Linked DNA regions of Callithrix jacchus. The protein of the gene in region 1 interacts with the protein of each later gene in a pairwise test. Links are inferred from orthologs where the notes say so. Each region holds a gene or a part of one and is shown in the gene's direction. Other genes may lie near its edges.

What was found.
Region 2: the proteins of KRT40 (region 1) and CYCS interact in binary tests that used the Homo sapiens proteins (3 or more experiments, as listed by UniProt). The two-hybrid records come from large-scale screens. The link is inferred for Callithrix jacchus from reciprocal best matches to the Homo sapiens genes KRT40 and CYCS.
Region 3: the proteins of KRT40 (region 1) and PIMREG interact in binary tests that used the Homo sapiens proteins (3 or more experiments, as listed by UniProt). The two-hybrid records come from large-scale screens. The link is inferred for Callithrix jacchus from reciprocal best matches to the Homo sapiens genes KRT40 and PIMREG.

Annotation. Positions count from the first base shown.
Region 1 is NC_133506.1:92,275,950-92,280,175, forward strand, and holds the start of KRT40 (keratin, type I cytoskeletal 40), read left to right. Parts: upstream 1-1,426; 5' UTR 1,427-1,467; coding exon 1,468-1,914; exon of another isoform or gene 1,915-2,609; coding exon 2,610-2,692; exon of another isoform or gene 2,693-3,323; coding exon 3,324-3,480; intron 3,481-4,226. UniProt on the Homo sapiens protein: May play a role in late hair differentiation.
Region 2 is NC_133512.1:32,935,637-32,940,394, forward strand, and holds CYCS (cytochrome c), read left to right. Parts: upstream 1-1,664; 5' UTR 1,665-1,722; intron 1,723-3,375; 5' UTR 3,376-3,383; coding exon 3,384-3,552; intron 3,553-3,659; coding exon 3,660-3,808; 3' UTR 3,809-4,688; downstream 4,689-4,758. UniProt on the Homo sapiens protein: Electron carrier protein. The oxidized form of the cytochrome c heme group can accept an electron from the heme group of the cytochrome c1 subunit of cytochrome reductase.
Region 3 is NC_133506.1:107,999,526-108,004,468, forward strand, and holds the start of PIMREG (protein PIMREG), read left to right. Parts: upstream 1-1,849; 5' UTR 1,850-1,899; intron 1,900-2,409; 5' UTR 2,410-2,442; coding exon 2,443-2,736; intron 2,737-4,663; coding exon 4,664-4,943. UniProt on the Homo sapiens protein: During mitosis, may play a role in the control of metaphase-to-anaphase transition.

The DNA of each region.
Region 1 (4,226 bases):
GAAAGTGTTTTTGAATCCTTGAACTTGTGTTTGTTGCAAAGCAGCATCAGCATACCATGAAGCACTCTAAAAACTTTTCTCATAAGTGTTGATGTGTAAAGAGAATCACTAAATTCAAACTCAACTCTGCCCAGGGAGTAAGAGACTATTTTAACTCACTTACATATGTTCTCTGGCTTGGTTTGGTTTGGTTTCTCTTCTCAGCTACCCAGGAAGCAGCACTCAAGATTAGGAGAAGAAATAAGTTTATTTTGGATCATAAATTTTTTAACTTTTTCAGATTAATGTGTTTTTTTCCTATAATGTTCTTAAAAATTCTAGAGGCAATTTTCTCTGTGCACCTTTGAAAATGAAATACATGTCATGACTAACGCTAAGCAAAGTGAAATAGATTGTACTTCATAACGGAGGTGAAATTCAAGAGAGAATCCAAAAAAGTCACACATCTCAAGCTCCTATCTGTCAGATTTGGCATCAGAGATTTCAACCAGTGGAATTAGTCATTTGGAACCTGAATAGAATTTTATTTCCCAAGTTCCAGTATGTTTATACATCTCAGAAGCAAAGACTCCTGTGGGTTCCTCCCTCTTTTCTGAAGTATAATCACTGAGGAATTCCCAAGGGACTAAAAGATTATAACTTAGAAAATTTATATTTCACTCTTATTAGGAATACAGGTAAAATTGTATGACTTATCTAAAAATAAGAAGTGTGGAGAAGGCAAGTTTCAGGAAGTCAAAGATCATAATTCCAGCTCTAACCAATATATATTTTAACTTACAGGAAACAAGTTATTCCTATCAGTTGTGTAAAGAGACTTTTCCATTTGTATGCAGGTAGACATGGTTTGTACACACACACACACACTCACACTCTTTAAACCCAGTATATACCTCACTTCTCCAGTCCTGTCAGCACATGCTCTAAGATCACAAAAAGCACTGGAAGATTGCTAACCACACTGACCATTTTTATAGTGGTGGACAAACAAATGAATGTCCTTTTATGAGCCGTAATACTAATTTTAAAGAAGACACAAGCAATCAATGCACAGAATCAAAATCTGTGGGAATATTAATTTCCTGATTTGTAATGAGTTGTATCTATAATTATTGATTGGCCAAATGTTCTCTTTCTTTTCTTATTCTGTCAAAAAGACAATGCTTCCTATGATGATTTTCTGAAATAAGTGTTTTGTCTTGCACATGGAAATGGTGTGGGCCCTGCTTTGGTAACCTAAAGTTATCCCCCTTTTATGAGGCATACAACTCTTCTTCAGTAAATAAACAACTCTAATGAGATGTTTGTATAAAAACCGGCACCATCAATGATGACGAAAACATCCGGTGCAGTCTGTAAACACCCATTTTGAGGGGGCGCTATATAAAACTCTCAGGAGGGAAGGAGTGTTTTGGAGTCAAGGCAACTGGTGTTTTGCAGCCAGTCTCTGTCTTTGCTTCTAGAAGGATGTCTTCTGACTGCTCCTCCACGCTCTGCTCTCCTGAGTCCTGTACCAGGGCTTCCTGTTGTGCACCTGCCTCAAGCTGTTCCATGGAGACAGCTTGTCTCCCCGGTTCCTGTGCTGCATCCCGATGTCAGACCCCTAGCTCCCTTTCCAGGTCTCTCGGGCTGACCGGTTGCCTCCTGCCATGCTACTTTACTGGGAGTTGTAGTAGTCCCTGCTTGGTGGGGAACTGTGCCTGGTGTGAGGATGGAGTGTTCACTAGCAATGAGAAGGAGACGATGCAGTTCCTGAATGACAGACTCGCCAACTATCTGGAGAAGGTGCGCAGCCTGGAGGAGACCAATGCAGAGCTGGAATCCAGGATCCAAGAGCAATGTGAACAGGATATCCCACTGGCATGTCCCGATTATCAGTGTTACTTCAACACCATTGAAGATCTCCAACAAAAGGTGCATGTCCTGTTGCCCTAGTGCTCCAGCTTCTCGATCTATGGTTTGCTTTATCTTTCTACTAGAAGGTGCTGTTTTACAGAAGGAAACCAAGAGAAAGGAGAGTTCTACAAGTTAATGGTACATAGGGAAGAGCACTGTGCTGGAAGTCGGGAAACCTCAGTCCCACCCCTAAAGCTACCCCTGATTACTGAGTAACTATAACAAAGTAACTTGTCTGTGGACTTTTCCTTCGTCATCTATAGAATGCAAAAAGACTGTGTTATATCCAAAATCGCTTTTGTATGTGACACTGAACATTTATATTATCTGAACACAGATCATGAAATGCCATCTTTTTAACCACCTAGTCATTTTCTTCTCTCCCTGATGAATTTCCATTATGGGAGAGGGTATAGTCATAATACAAACTACTGATGGAGAAAAACGTTAATGGCGTTCCACTGCCTAGGAATAGTGCAAAATGTCTTATGTTATGAGAAAAAGTGAACCTTTTTATGTCTCTATTTTGTTTCTGAATTGGCACTGCTTGTTTGCTTCATCAAGTGACACGGTGAATACGGAAAGCAGCTAACGGCCATTTTACACTTTCTTATAAAGACTTTCAAAGGATAACTAATGGCATAGCTGTTGGATAGTAGTTTATTTAGGTTTCTCTCAAAGAATACTTTATTAAATAAGGACTTTCTTCACAGATCTTATGCACGAAGGCAGAGAATTCTAGACTTGCTGTACAGCTTGACAACTGCAAACTGGCCACTGAGGATTTTAAGTCAAAGTGAGTTGAATTTTATTTAATTTATTTATTTTGAGGTGGAGTTTCCCTCGTTGCTCAGGCTGGAGTGCAGTGGCACTATCATGGTTCACTGCAACCTCCGCCTCCTGCGTTTGAGCGAGTCTCCTGCCTCAGTCTCCCAGGTAGCTGCGATTACAGACAGGCATGTGCTGCCATGCCCAGCTAATTTTTGTATTTTTAGTAGAGAAGAGGTTTCACCATGCTGGCCAGAATGGTCTCAAACTCCTGACCTTAGGTGATCTGCCTGCCTTGGCCTCCCAAAGTGCTGGGATTACAGGCATGAGCCACCACACCCAGGCTTAATTTTATTTTGAAAATAATTTATGGCGCTCTCTCTCTCTCTCTCTCTCTCTCTCTCTCACACACACACACACACACACACACACACAAACACACACACACTCTCTCTCTCTCTCACACACACACACAAATATTCTCTATATAATATCTTAAAGTTAAGAATGTCTTAAAAGCTTGAATTTATCATTACTCAGGAATTAAGAGAAATTCTGCATGTGGCTTCCTGAAATTCATATGTCGATCCTCCATGTATCCTCACACTTTGCACAGCATTCAACAGAATAAGTGTTGGATTTCTCTTTTGCTGTGAAAGGTACGACAGTGAACTGTCCCTTCGCCAGCTGTTACAGGCTGACATCAGCGGCCTGCATGGAATCCTGGATGAGCTGACCTTGTGCAAATCCGACCTGGAGGCCCATGTGGAGTCTCTGAAGGAAGATCTTCTTTGCCTTAAGAAAACCCATGAAGAGGTAAGGAAAGTGGCAACTCCGTTGAAGGACTCCAAGAGTGACATAGTTACACTGACAGATGATCTGTTGATGTTTGTGAATAGAACTAGGGCAGATGTTGCTTAAGCTAGACTAAAACTGCTCAAGGCATTATTACTGCTCAGCCTGATCATTCCAGTGTGTCTCTGAATTAAGATGTGAAATACCCCTGGCCAGTGCCAGACGAAGAAATCAAACTCTTCTCCTGCCCCTGCCTTTGTGGAGAAGGTGAATAACTCCACAAATGGCTTTCCTTGGAGGTTTTATGCCACTCCTAATTCCAATCCACCGGCTATAAAAATCAGGCTGAGAAACAGACTGTGAAGGCCATTTCAAAAAGAGAGAAAGACCCGTGCACTATCTGGACCAGTGTTTTTAAATATTCCACATTTATAAACTTTTAAAACTCATAAAATATAAAGCAATTGATATATTAATAAAGCTAGAAAATGAAAAGCTGAATGACGTAACAAATTACTTTGCTCTTTGAACATTTTTTGATGGCAATCATAGCTAACATTCATCGAGAACTTACTATGTGCCAGGACATTTATAAGTTAATTATATGTAGATTAATTCTTCTAGATCTCACAATAACCTTTGGGAGAAATGTCCAATTATTATGCCCATTTTACAGATGAAGCAACTGAGACCCTTGTAAGTGGTGAAAAGAGATTCAGCCTAGGCAATCTGAATAAAAATCTCACACTTTTACCCACTACTCCAAA
Region 2 (4,758 bases), on another chromosome or scaffold:
ACAGGAAGATGGAAGATTGGAGCAGAATAATAAGACCAGTGGTTTGGAAGTGATCTAAGATAAAGGTTTCCTGGTATCTATTACTTAAGTTGCAGGGTAGGAAAAAGGATCCCAGAATGTAAGCTCCACCAGAAAGAGTCCTCACTGATTTATAATACTCCATGTACCTAGAAAAATGCTTGGCACATAACATGCATAATAAATGCTTTTTTTGTTTGTTTGTTTGAGACAGTCTTACTCTGTCGCCCAGGCTGGAGTGCAGTGGCACGATCTCAACTCACTGCAATCTCTTCCTGTCGGGTTCAAGCGATTCTCCCGTCTCAGCCTCAGCCTCGTGAATAGCTGGGATTACAGGTGCGTGCCACCATGCCCGGCTAATTGTTGTATTTTTAGTAGAAACGAGGTTTCGTCATATTGCCAGGCTGGTCTCAAACTCCTGATCTCAGGTGATTAGCCCGCCTCGGCCTCCCAGAGTCCTGGGATTACAGGTGTGAATCACCTTGTCCGGCCAATGAATACGACTGAATACGGCAGTGTCAGATAGAATACAAGGCGAGGGAGTGGAGGGGAGAGAATACAAGAAAGGATGAAAATTAATCAGAACATGGGGCTAGAATTTGAGGAGTAAAGGTGTCAAAAAAAAAAAAAAAAAAAAAAACCAGTGACAGAACTGAGCATGTCAGGAAGGGGATCTAGTTTTAAATTATAATAACTAAAAGCTGTGGTATTAACGCCTTTATTTCTAATAAGACCTCATGCATAAGCTTACTTGAACATGACATTTACCTAGGTCAGAAGGGATGCAAATCCTCTAGATTTCCAAGAATTCTCTAATCATCTAAACATGTTTCTTCTTAGATGGTGCCAACACACCTTCCATGTTCTTTCTGCACACGAACGTGAGGGGGAGGAGGGCGCTGGCAGAAAAGTTGCCGACAGGTAAGGGGCCAGAGATATAATTGTCTCTACCGCAAATGCAGCACCTTCCCCATTCTTGGGGCGTCCAACAAGCGGAGAGCTAGAAGATGACTGAAAGTAACACAGTAGAGGTGGAACTAGAACAAGGTCACGAGCAAGTGCCCAACTCGTCTAACTCCTGGTTCCAGGCTGTGCCTCTGGGATGCTGTTGGCGCCAGCAGTGTTAGTATGACAGAGCCTGGGTAAAGGTCGTCTGCTGACGAGACGGTAGCTAGGAGACCTCTAGGTGAGCCAGAATTAGGGCGTCTTCTCCTGGACGTGCGGAACGCCCTGCCCAAACAAAGCTCATTACATCACCAGGCCTGTTACTTTAGCAGGGTAACGCGCCAAACCACCACCGACTCCGCCCCACCCTCCCCGCCCCTCTAGTATACGCAAGCGCACAAAGACCTGCGAGTGACGTCACCCCTCCCGGCACCACCGCGACGTCGTTTGACCAAAGGCCTGTCGTAACGGCCCGGCAAGAGAGGCCTGGAGAGGAAGGGCACGCACGCCGCACAGCCTACCCTGCTCGCTGGTATGCGCGCGCAGATCCTTGGCGCAAGCATTGGCACTGGAGCCAATGAAGCGCGGCAACGTCACTGCGTAGCCGCAAGCTCGGCTGTACGTCAGGGCGCGGGAGGGCGGAGCGAGTTTGGTTGCACTTACACTGGTACTTAGGCGCGGACCGGCGTGTCCTTGGACTTAGAGAGTGGGACGTCCGGCTTCTGAGTGGTAGTCTTTGTTGCGCTAACCACGAAAAAGGTGAGAGCGGGTCGCGGAAGCCGCATCTGGTTAGAAGCAGAGCTGTGGGGGGCACGTATTCGCGAGGATACGCGGGGAGCCTTCGAGGGGAGCCCGCGCGGGGTGGGAAGGCCGGACGTGAGGACCCTAGACTATGGTCAAACGAGAGCCAGGCGATCAACCGCTTGAGGTAGGGCGGAAGCCCAACTAAGGTCTCGGTCAGTTACTGGAGACGGCAAGACGCGTCCTCTTCCGTCGTGGTTGTTGAAGGGCTATGGAAACGATAGGCCAGACTTCCCTCCCTTAAAACCGAAGCGTAGCGTTTCATTTTCTGCTTCAGAGGGCAAAAGCTGTTGCTCCTCTAATAAGGGGTTGTTCTTTTCGTGGGCACATGTTTGTTCTTTCAATCGTTGCGGCGTCCTAGAAACGTGGGTTTCATCAGTCACCTTGAAACCGACCTGGATGGGTGACCTCGTGGTCACCTCGGGGGGATCACCGGTAAGAGAGTTGGGGATTTCTTGGGGACACCGTGCAGCCTACTCCTGCGCTCCAATTCACGCAGGAGTAGTGTCAAGCTACTCTTGTGCCCTGGGCAGGTAGAAACAATCAGAACCGTTTATTTTATTTTTAATTTATTTTTGAAGACGGAGTCTCGCTCCGTCACCCAGGCTGAAGTGCAGTAGCACGATCTCGGCTCACTGCAACTTCCGCCTCCCGGGTTCAAGCAATTCTCCTGCTTCGCCCTCCCTAGTACCTGGGACTACCGGTTTCCACCACCACGCCCGGCTTTTTTTTTTTTTTTTTTTTTTTCTTTCTTATGGAGTTTCGCTCTTCTTACCCAGCCTAGAGTGCAATGGCGCGATCTCGGCTCACTGCAACCTCCGCCTCCTGGGTTCAGGCAATTCTCCTGCCTCAGCCTTCCGAGTAGCTGGGACTACAGGCGCGCGCCACCATGCCCAGCTAAGTTTTTTGTATTTTTAGTAGAGACGGGGTTTCACCTTGTTGACCAGGATGGTCTCAATCTCTTGGCCTCCCAGAGTGCTGGGATTATAGGCATGAGCCACCGCGCCCGGCTTTTTTTTTTTTTTGTATTTTAGTAGAGACAGAATTTCACCATGTTAGCCAGGGTGGTTTCGTTCTCCTGACCTGGTGATGACAACCCACCCCTCCAAGCCTCCCAAAGTGCTGGGATTATAGGCGTGAGCCACCGCGCCGGGACCCAGGACCGATTTTTAAACATTTGTGCTTTGCATTATCCTCAGGGAGAGGTGGCTTTACATTGTAGTACGATTAAATGATTAGACCTTCTTAAAAGTTGCAGTTGTGGTGATTTTCACTTAATGTTCGCTGTTCTGCTTCGTATCTGTGACTGTTTGTGATCATGACCTTATCTTCTGAAACTGAAGTTTGAATTACGTTCCCATTTGCTTGCTTGGGTTTTAACCTTCCTTCACGTATACACACAAAAACAGGTTTTTAAGGAGGTGCTCCTAAAAAATGTTTTTGGTATGAAAGAGTATTGGGTATAAAAAGTATTAAAGCAAAAGAAGATTCATCTTAGTATTTAATGACATAAATTATCAATGGATTGGTAATTAAGTGACTAGAGTGGTCATTAGTTTACACTGTATTTGTTACCTGAAGAAAAATTATTGTTGGGTCTTTCGTTTTTAGAATTCAATATGGGTGATGTTGAGAAAGGCAAGAGGATTTTTATTCAGAAGTGTTCCCAATGTCACACGGTGGAAAAGGGAGGCAAGCACAAGACTGGGCCTAATCTCCATGGTATCTTTGGGCGGAAGACAGGTCAGGCCTCTGGATTCACTTACACTGAAGCCAATAAAAACAAAGGTAAGAGGAGAACACTTGTTAAATAAAACAGCACAAAACGCATGAACGTAACCTGTGGCAAACTCCGGAGTGTGAAATACTTAATGGATGCATTCTTTATCATTTAGGCATCATCTGGGGAGAGGATACACTGATGGAATATTTGGAGAATCCCAAGAAGTATATCCCTGGAACAAAAATGATCTTTGTCGGCATTAAGAAGAAGGGAGAAAGGGAAGACTTAATAGCTTATCTCAAAAAAGCTACTAATGAGTAATAATTGGCCACTGCCTTATTTATTACAAAACAAATGTCTCATGACTTTTTTATGTGTACCGTACTTTAATAGATCTCATACACCAGAATTTACATCATGAATGACTGACAGAATATTTTGTTGGGCAGTCCTGATTTAAGACTAAGACTGGCTTGTGGTTAAATGAATATGTTCAGTTTTTGGATTTTAATAGTAATTCCAATTTAGTAAATTCTGTCACACCCACCCCTTCTAAAGATATGATTAGACTTCATTAGTAATGTTAAAACTTTTCGCAAAGATGGTGAGTGCCATCTTAAAACTTACTGGAGATTGGTTTTATATTTAGATTTATATGACTGGTTATGTGAATATATTTAAATATGGGGGCAATTCCTTCACAGTCTCAGAACCAAGCAAGATTCACCTGTGTTTTGTGTTCGTTTGCCTCTTAAAGGCAAGGTTGAAGATAAACGGGTAGCAATGGCTATTTTATATTTTTGGCCTTAACTATGCCAATCTAATTAGAGTACCCTGTATTTAAAATGGTTCCTTTTACTTACTGAAAGGCATTTTGTGTGGTTTATGTGTAATATAAAAAATTATTTAACACTTCACACATTTTATAGATGATCTATAAGGTCACATGCTTTTAAAATAGTAGCCAATTAAACTTCACTCTTGGATTCTTTACAATCTAAGTCAAACTAAGTTATAATTTAGGATTGTCTTTAAAAACAGCCATTCAGAAACAAAACTGTATAACTGCTGTGTATTTGTGATTGGGAATGGTGCTTTTGCCAACCTCTAAAGGATTAAAGTAGAAGAGATATACACAAATTTAAAAATGATGTGTGATTATAAGACTTAAGATAATTAAAAAGAAAACCACAGATCATGATTTTTTGACTGTGCTTGATTTCATGACTGTTGCCAAAATTTTAATGATTATAAAGTACAGGAGCCCTAAA
Region 3 (4,943 bases), about 16 Mb from region 1:
CATTACAAGTATCAGAGCATCACTATGTGTCCCATAAATGTTTAATTACTACTTGTCAATTTTTAAAAAAATTTTAAAGAAAATTACAAAGTAACTCATACTTACAAAATACTATGTGTATACACACATATATAAAGTGATACATATAAAATTATATACATATATGATTTACAGAATAATAAAGGCTGGGCAAGGTGGCTCATGCTTGAAATCCCAGCACTCTGGGAGGCCAAGGCAGGAGGACTGCTTGAGCCCAGGAGTTTGAGACTGCAGTGAGCCATGATTGCACCACTGCACACCAGCCTGGACAACACAGCAAGATCCTGTCTAAAAGGGGGTCAAAAAGAAGAAAATAAACATCCATGTGGCTACCACCCAGTCTACAAAATGGAACATTGCCTTTGAAGTCCTTTGAGCCCTTCCCTCAATACATCCTCTTCTCCTGTCACCCTTCCAAAAATGACTACCTATTTTATTTTGGTGCTTACATAATTTTGCTTTCCATAATACCTTTGTCCACAAATGTGTCTGTATATTCCTAAACCATATTGTTTAGTTTTTTGCTTTTGACTTACACGGTGTCATACTCTGCATATTGCTTTTTTTTCAAATCTAACATGATATTTCTGATATTCACCTAAGTTGGGAATGGTAGGTGGGAGGAAGGAATGGGAGAGATTTGTTAAAAGATACAGAGTTACAGCTAAATAAGAGTGATCTGGTTACAATTCACTTATTTTTCAGTGCTGTATAATTTGAATAAGTAACAATTTATATGTCTAAAAAATGCCACCCATATATGAATTTGGGCATTATATTTCCAACATTTGCAATTTGAGGGACATGGTCAAACCATAACAGAGGGTCAGATGAGTTAATAAACTGAAACACCAGGACCTGTGCATACTAAGTGTCATATACACATCATCCTTATCATCATCCTTTGGGGGGAAATCACTGACGTCAAAGTGGGTAAGACCACCCAGAAACGAAGAGGGTTGAAGACAGAGCCTCAAGGAACCATCATCTCAGTCTCTTGTGCGGGAGAAGTAACAAAGAAACTAACCGGGGGAGTGGGCAGCGCTGCTTTGAGGTCACCGAAAGGAGTAGGATGGGTTGGAGAGAGCTTTCTAATGGCTTGTTTTGTTTGGATGCTAAGGAGAGGAGAGACAGGCATTCCGCTGGAGGGAGGGAGGGATGCCAGAGGCAAGGCGCGGGCAGAGAGCCAGGGTGGGCGGGAGGAGGGCAGACTGGTATCCTCTGGTCTATCCCCACTTCCAGGACGCGTTTTCTAGGGGGGCGGAGTGTGGACGGCGAGTATGGGGAACTCCGAGAGGGGCAGTGTCTTGTCACAGGAAGGGAGGGTCAGGAGGGAAATTTGAAAGAAAATGTCTCTGGAAAACCCAGGGCTCCGCGCTGCCAGCGCCTGGCTCTTTCTGAAAGAACCACTGAGCAAGAAGGAAAAGCCAGGCCCCTTGGCGGGTTGGCGCTGCGGGGCCTGGAGCCTGAGCCAGGAGGTCTCGGTGGCTGGACCTCCGCCTCCACCCCATGGGTCAGAGCAGCCTGGACTTTTGCGCGCTCCTGGGAGGGGATCCGGCGTGCGATGGGCGGGGGCGGGGGCTGGGCCCGCGAAGGCTGGACGCGGGATACAAAGCCAGGAGCCACGAGGCTGGAGGCCGGGCGGGGGCCGGAGCAATGAATGGGGACGCCTGGGCCAATCCGAGCGCAGCATCTGCAGCCGCTAGAGAGGGAGCCAATTGGATGCCCGGCCCGGCGGCGGGGACGGGGACGGAGCCAATCAGCTGGGAGGACGGGCCGGGGCGGAGCCGCGCAGAGTTTCAAATCGGCTGCAGTGGGCGAGAAGCAGCCGTGCTCGGGTGTGATCAGCGTTGGTGTCTGGTGAGTGCGGGCGGGACCGTGGTGGGGCTTCTGCTCAGAGCAGGAGGACCTCAGGTTCGGACATGCACGGCGTGGGGGTGCGTCTGGGTACCTCAAGCGTCGGATCGGAATAGGGCGAGGGGCCGTCTGGTGGGAAGGCCGGGGTCTGGGCGGTGGTGCGTTGGGTCTGGCCGAGCTGGTGAAGGAGATGGTAATCGTGTCCTGGGCCCGGCGCTGAGGCTCGATTCTGGAGTGTCCTGATCCTGCCTCCCCTCCTTGCCTGAGGCAGAGAGAGGAAGGAGGTTGGGATGAAAGGACAGCTGTTTTGGAAACTTAAAGTGCTGGACAGCAGAAATCCTGCTGACCTGAGACCCCTCTTCCAGGAAGCATCTTCCTTTCTGCACCCACACTTGCAAACTTCCCCACCACCCTGCTGCATCCCATCTCCTCCCCTGTGCCCAGGGTCTCTGTGGGGCCTGGGAATGGGGATGCGGAATGCCTTGCTGACCTGCTCTTTGCCCTCCGCCCCAGGGTGTAGTGGGCAGAAAAGACTTGGCCTGGCAGATGGCTTCTCGGTGGCAGAGCATGGGGACCTCCGTGCGCCGGAGATCTCTCCAGCACCAAGAGCAGCTGGAGGACAGCAAGGAGCTGCAGCCTGTGGCCGGCCATCAGGAGACCTCCTCCGGGGCCCTGGGGTCCCTGTGCAGACAGTTCCAAAGGAGGCTGCCCCTGAAAGCCGTCAACCTCAACCTCCGCCCAGGCCCCTCCTGGAAACGTCTGGAAACCCCAGAGCCAGGGCAGCAGGGCCTCCAGGCAGCAGCTCGCTCAGCTAAGAGTGCCTTGGGTGCAATGTCCCAGGTAATACCGACAATACTAACCATCTTTTTTATGAAGGGTTTCCTTGGTGCCAGACAGTTCCTGCCTTCAAAGAGCCTCCAAAAATATAGACTCCATGAAGACAGGGACTTTGGTTAGTTCACTGCTGTTTCCCTAGCACCCCAAATAGTTCCTGGCATGTATAGGTGCTCAACAAATAGTTGAATGAATGAATGAAAGCATGTCTTGGAGGAAACAGATGCTCACACTACCAGGTGATAAGAGCTGTATGTGATAGGAAATTGCAAGCAAGTGGCCAATAGCAAGGGCTCACCAAACGAAAGCTTAGTTGGTGAAGGCTTCCCAGAGGAGGTGCCTCCAGAGTTCACCCAGGGAAGCCAAAGGTCAAGTGGTATTTAAGGCAGTGGAAATAGTTCAAGTCCAGGCCTGGAGCAGGAGGAGCTGAGGAAAAACAAGATTGCCCACTCAGCCATGGACCCCTGAGGAGAGCCAGAATTTTAGTGTGGGAATGAGCAAAGGACACAGGGCAAGGTAGAGCAGGGAGAAAGGATATAAAGGAGCTTAGACTCTCCCGGGAGTGATCAGGAGTGGGAGTCCATAGGATTCTAAAACAATGGAAAGTCTGGTCTAATTAGCATGTTAGAATTTGCCCTTTAGCTACATAATGGAGAAGGGAATGGAAGCAGAGAAGCTCCTGAAGGGGGACCTAAGGGTCTGGACTTGCAGGGGATAAACTTCGGGAACTGCCTAGAAGGTTGATTAGAGGGGATTTAATGTGAAATGAGAGGTGCTGGCAGGAAGACATCCTTATATTGGCTGTAAGTGTCTATGGGCCCTTTAAGGGATGCATCTTTCAACCCAGAGCTGGAGGTAGAGAGGGGTCACTTAGAAAGGACAGAAGCCATTAGGATGAATGGACCTTCAGTGAGAGGACTGGAGACTGCAGAGGTTTCTCCTCGATGTCTCACTGGGAATTCCAAAGATGAGCGGAGAGGGTGGCTGTTTCTAGACCCTCTGCAGAGAGCTCTCTGAGCCAAATGTTAGTCCTTATTTGGAAACTTTTTTTTTATTTTTTGAGATGGAGTCTCGCTCTGTTGCCCAGGCTGGAGTGCAGTGGCGTGATCTCGGCTTGCTGCAACCTCCGCCTTCCGGGTTCAAGTGATTCTCCTGCCTCAGTCTCCCAAGTAGCTGAGCTTATAGATGTGTGCCACCATTCCTGGCTAATTTTTTTGTATTTTTAGTAGAGATGGGGTTTCACCATGTTAGCTAGGCTGGTCTTGATCTCCTAACTGCGTCGTGATCCACCCAAATGCTCTCCTGGTATGCAGGGGGTGGTAGGCAGGCTGGCCTGCTCTTCTCTGCCCCGCCCCCGCCACAGTCGTTGGGTCAATCTGTATCTGGAAGGAGAGTTAGACAAACAGGCTCCATGCACTAGGGCAGGTCATCCTGCTGCTGACTGCTGCTGTCATATCCAAAAGCTCTGAGCTGGATCCCTGCCATGGAGTCCTTTCCCGAGGAGTCATTCACATCCCTCACCCTGGAGACTAACAGCAGCCTGTATTTACAGGACACTTGTTGGGTCTAGGGGTGGTGGTAGCTCACCCTTGTTTTTTGCTTTTTCAAGACAGGGTCTCACTTTGTCGCCCAGGCTGGAGTGCAGTGGCGTGATCTCAGTTCACTGCAACACTGCAACCTCTGCCTCCTGGGTTCAAGGGATTCTGGGATTACAGGTTCTTGGATACAGCCCGCCAACATGCCCAGCTAATTTTTTTGTATTTTTAGTAGAGATAGTGTTTTACCACATTGGCCAGGCTGGTCTCCAACTCCTGACCTCCAGTGATCTGCCCGCCTTGGCCTCCCAAAGTGCTGGGATTAAAGGCATGAGCCACCGCCGCCCAGCCTCACCCTTGGTTTTGTCTGTGCTAACATTTCCATTTGCCTATTCCAGAGAATCCAGGAGTCCTGCCAAAGTGGCACCAAGTGGCTGGTGGAGACCCAGGTGAAGGCCAGGAGGAGGAAGAGAGGAGCACAGAAGGGTAGTGGATCCCCAACTCACAGCTTGAGCCAGAAGAGCACCCGGCTGTCTGGAGCCACCCCTGCCTACTCACCCTCAGGCCCCTGGGAGAAGGCGCATCACTGCCTCTCTGCCCAGATGGGCTCATGTGCCCGCCCGTTACGGCGGTCGAGGCGGGAGGCAGCCTTCCGGAGCCCGTACTCCTCTACAGAGC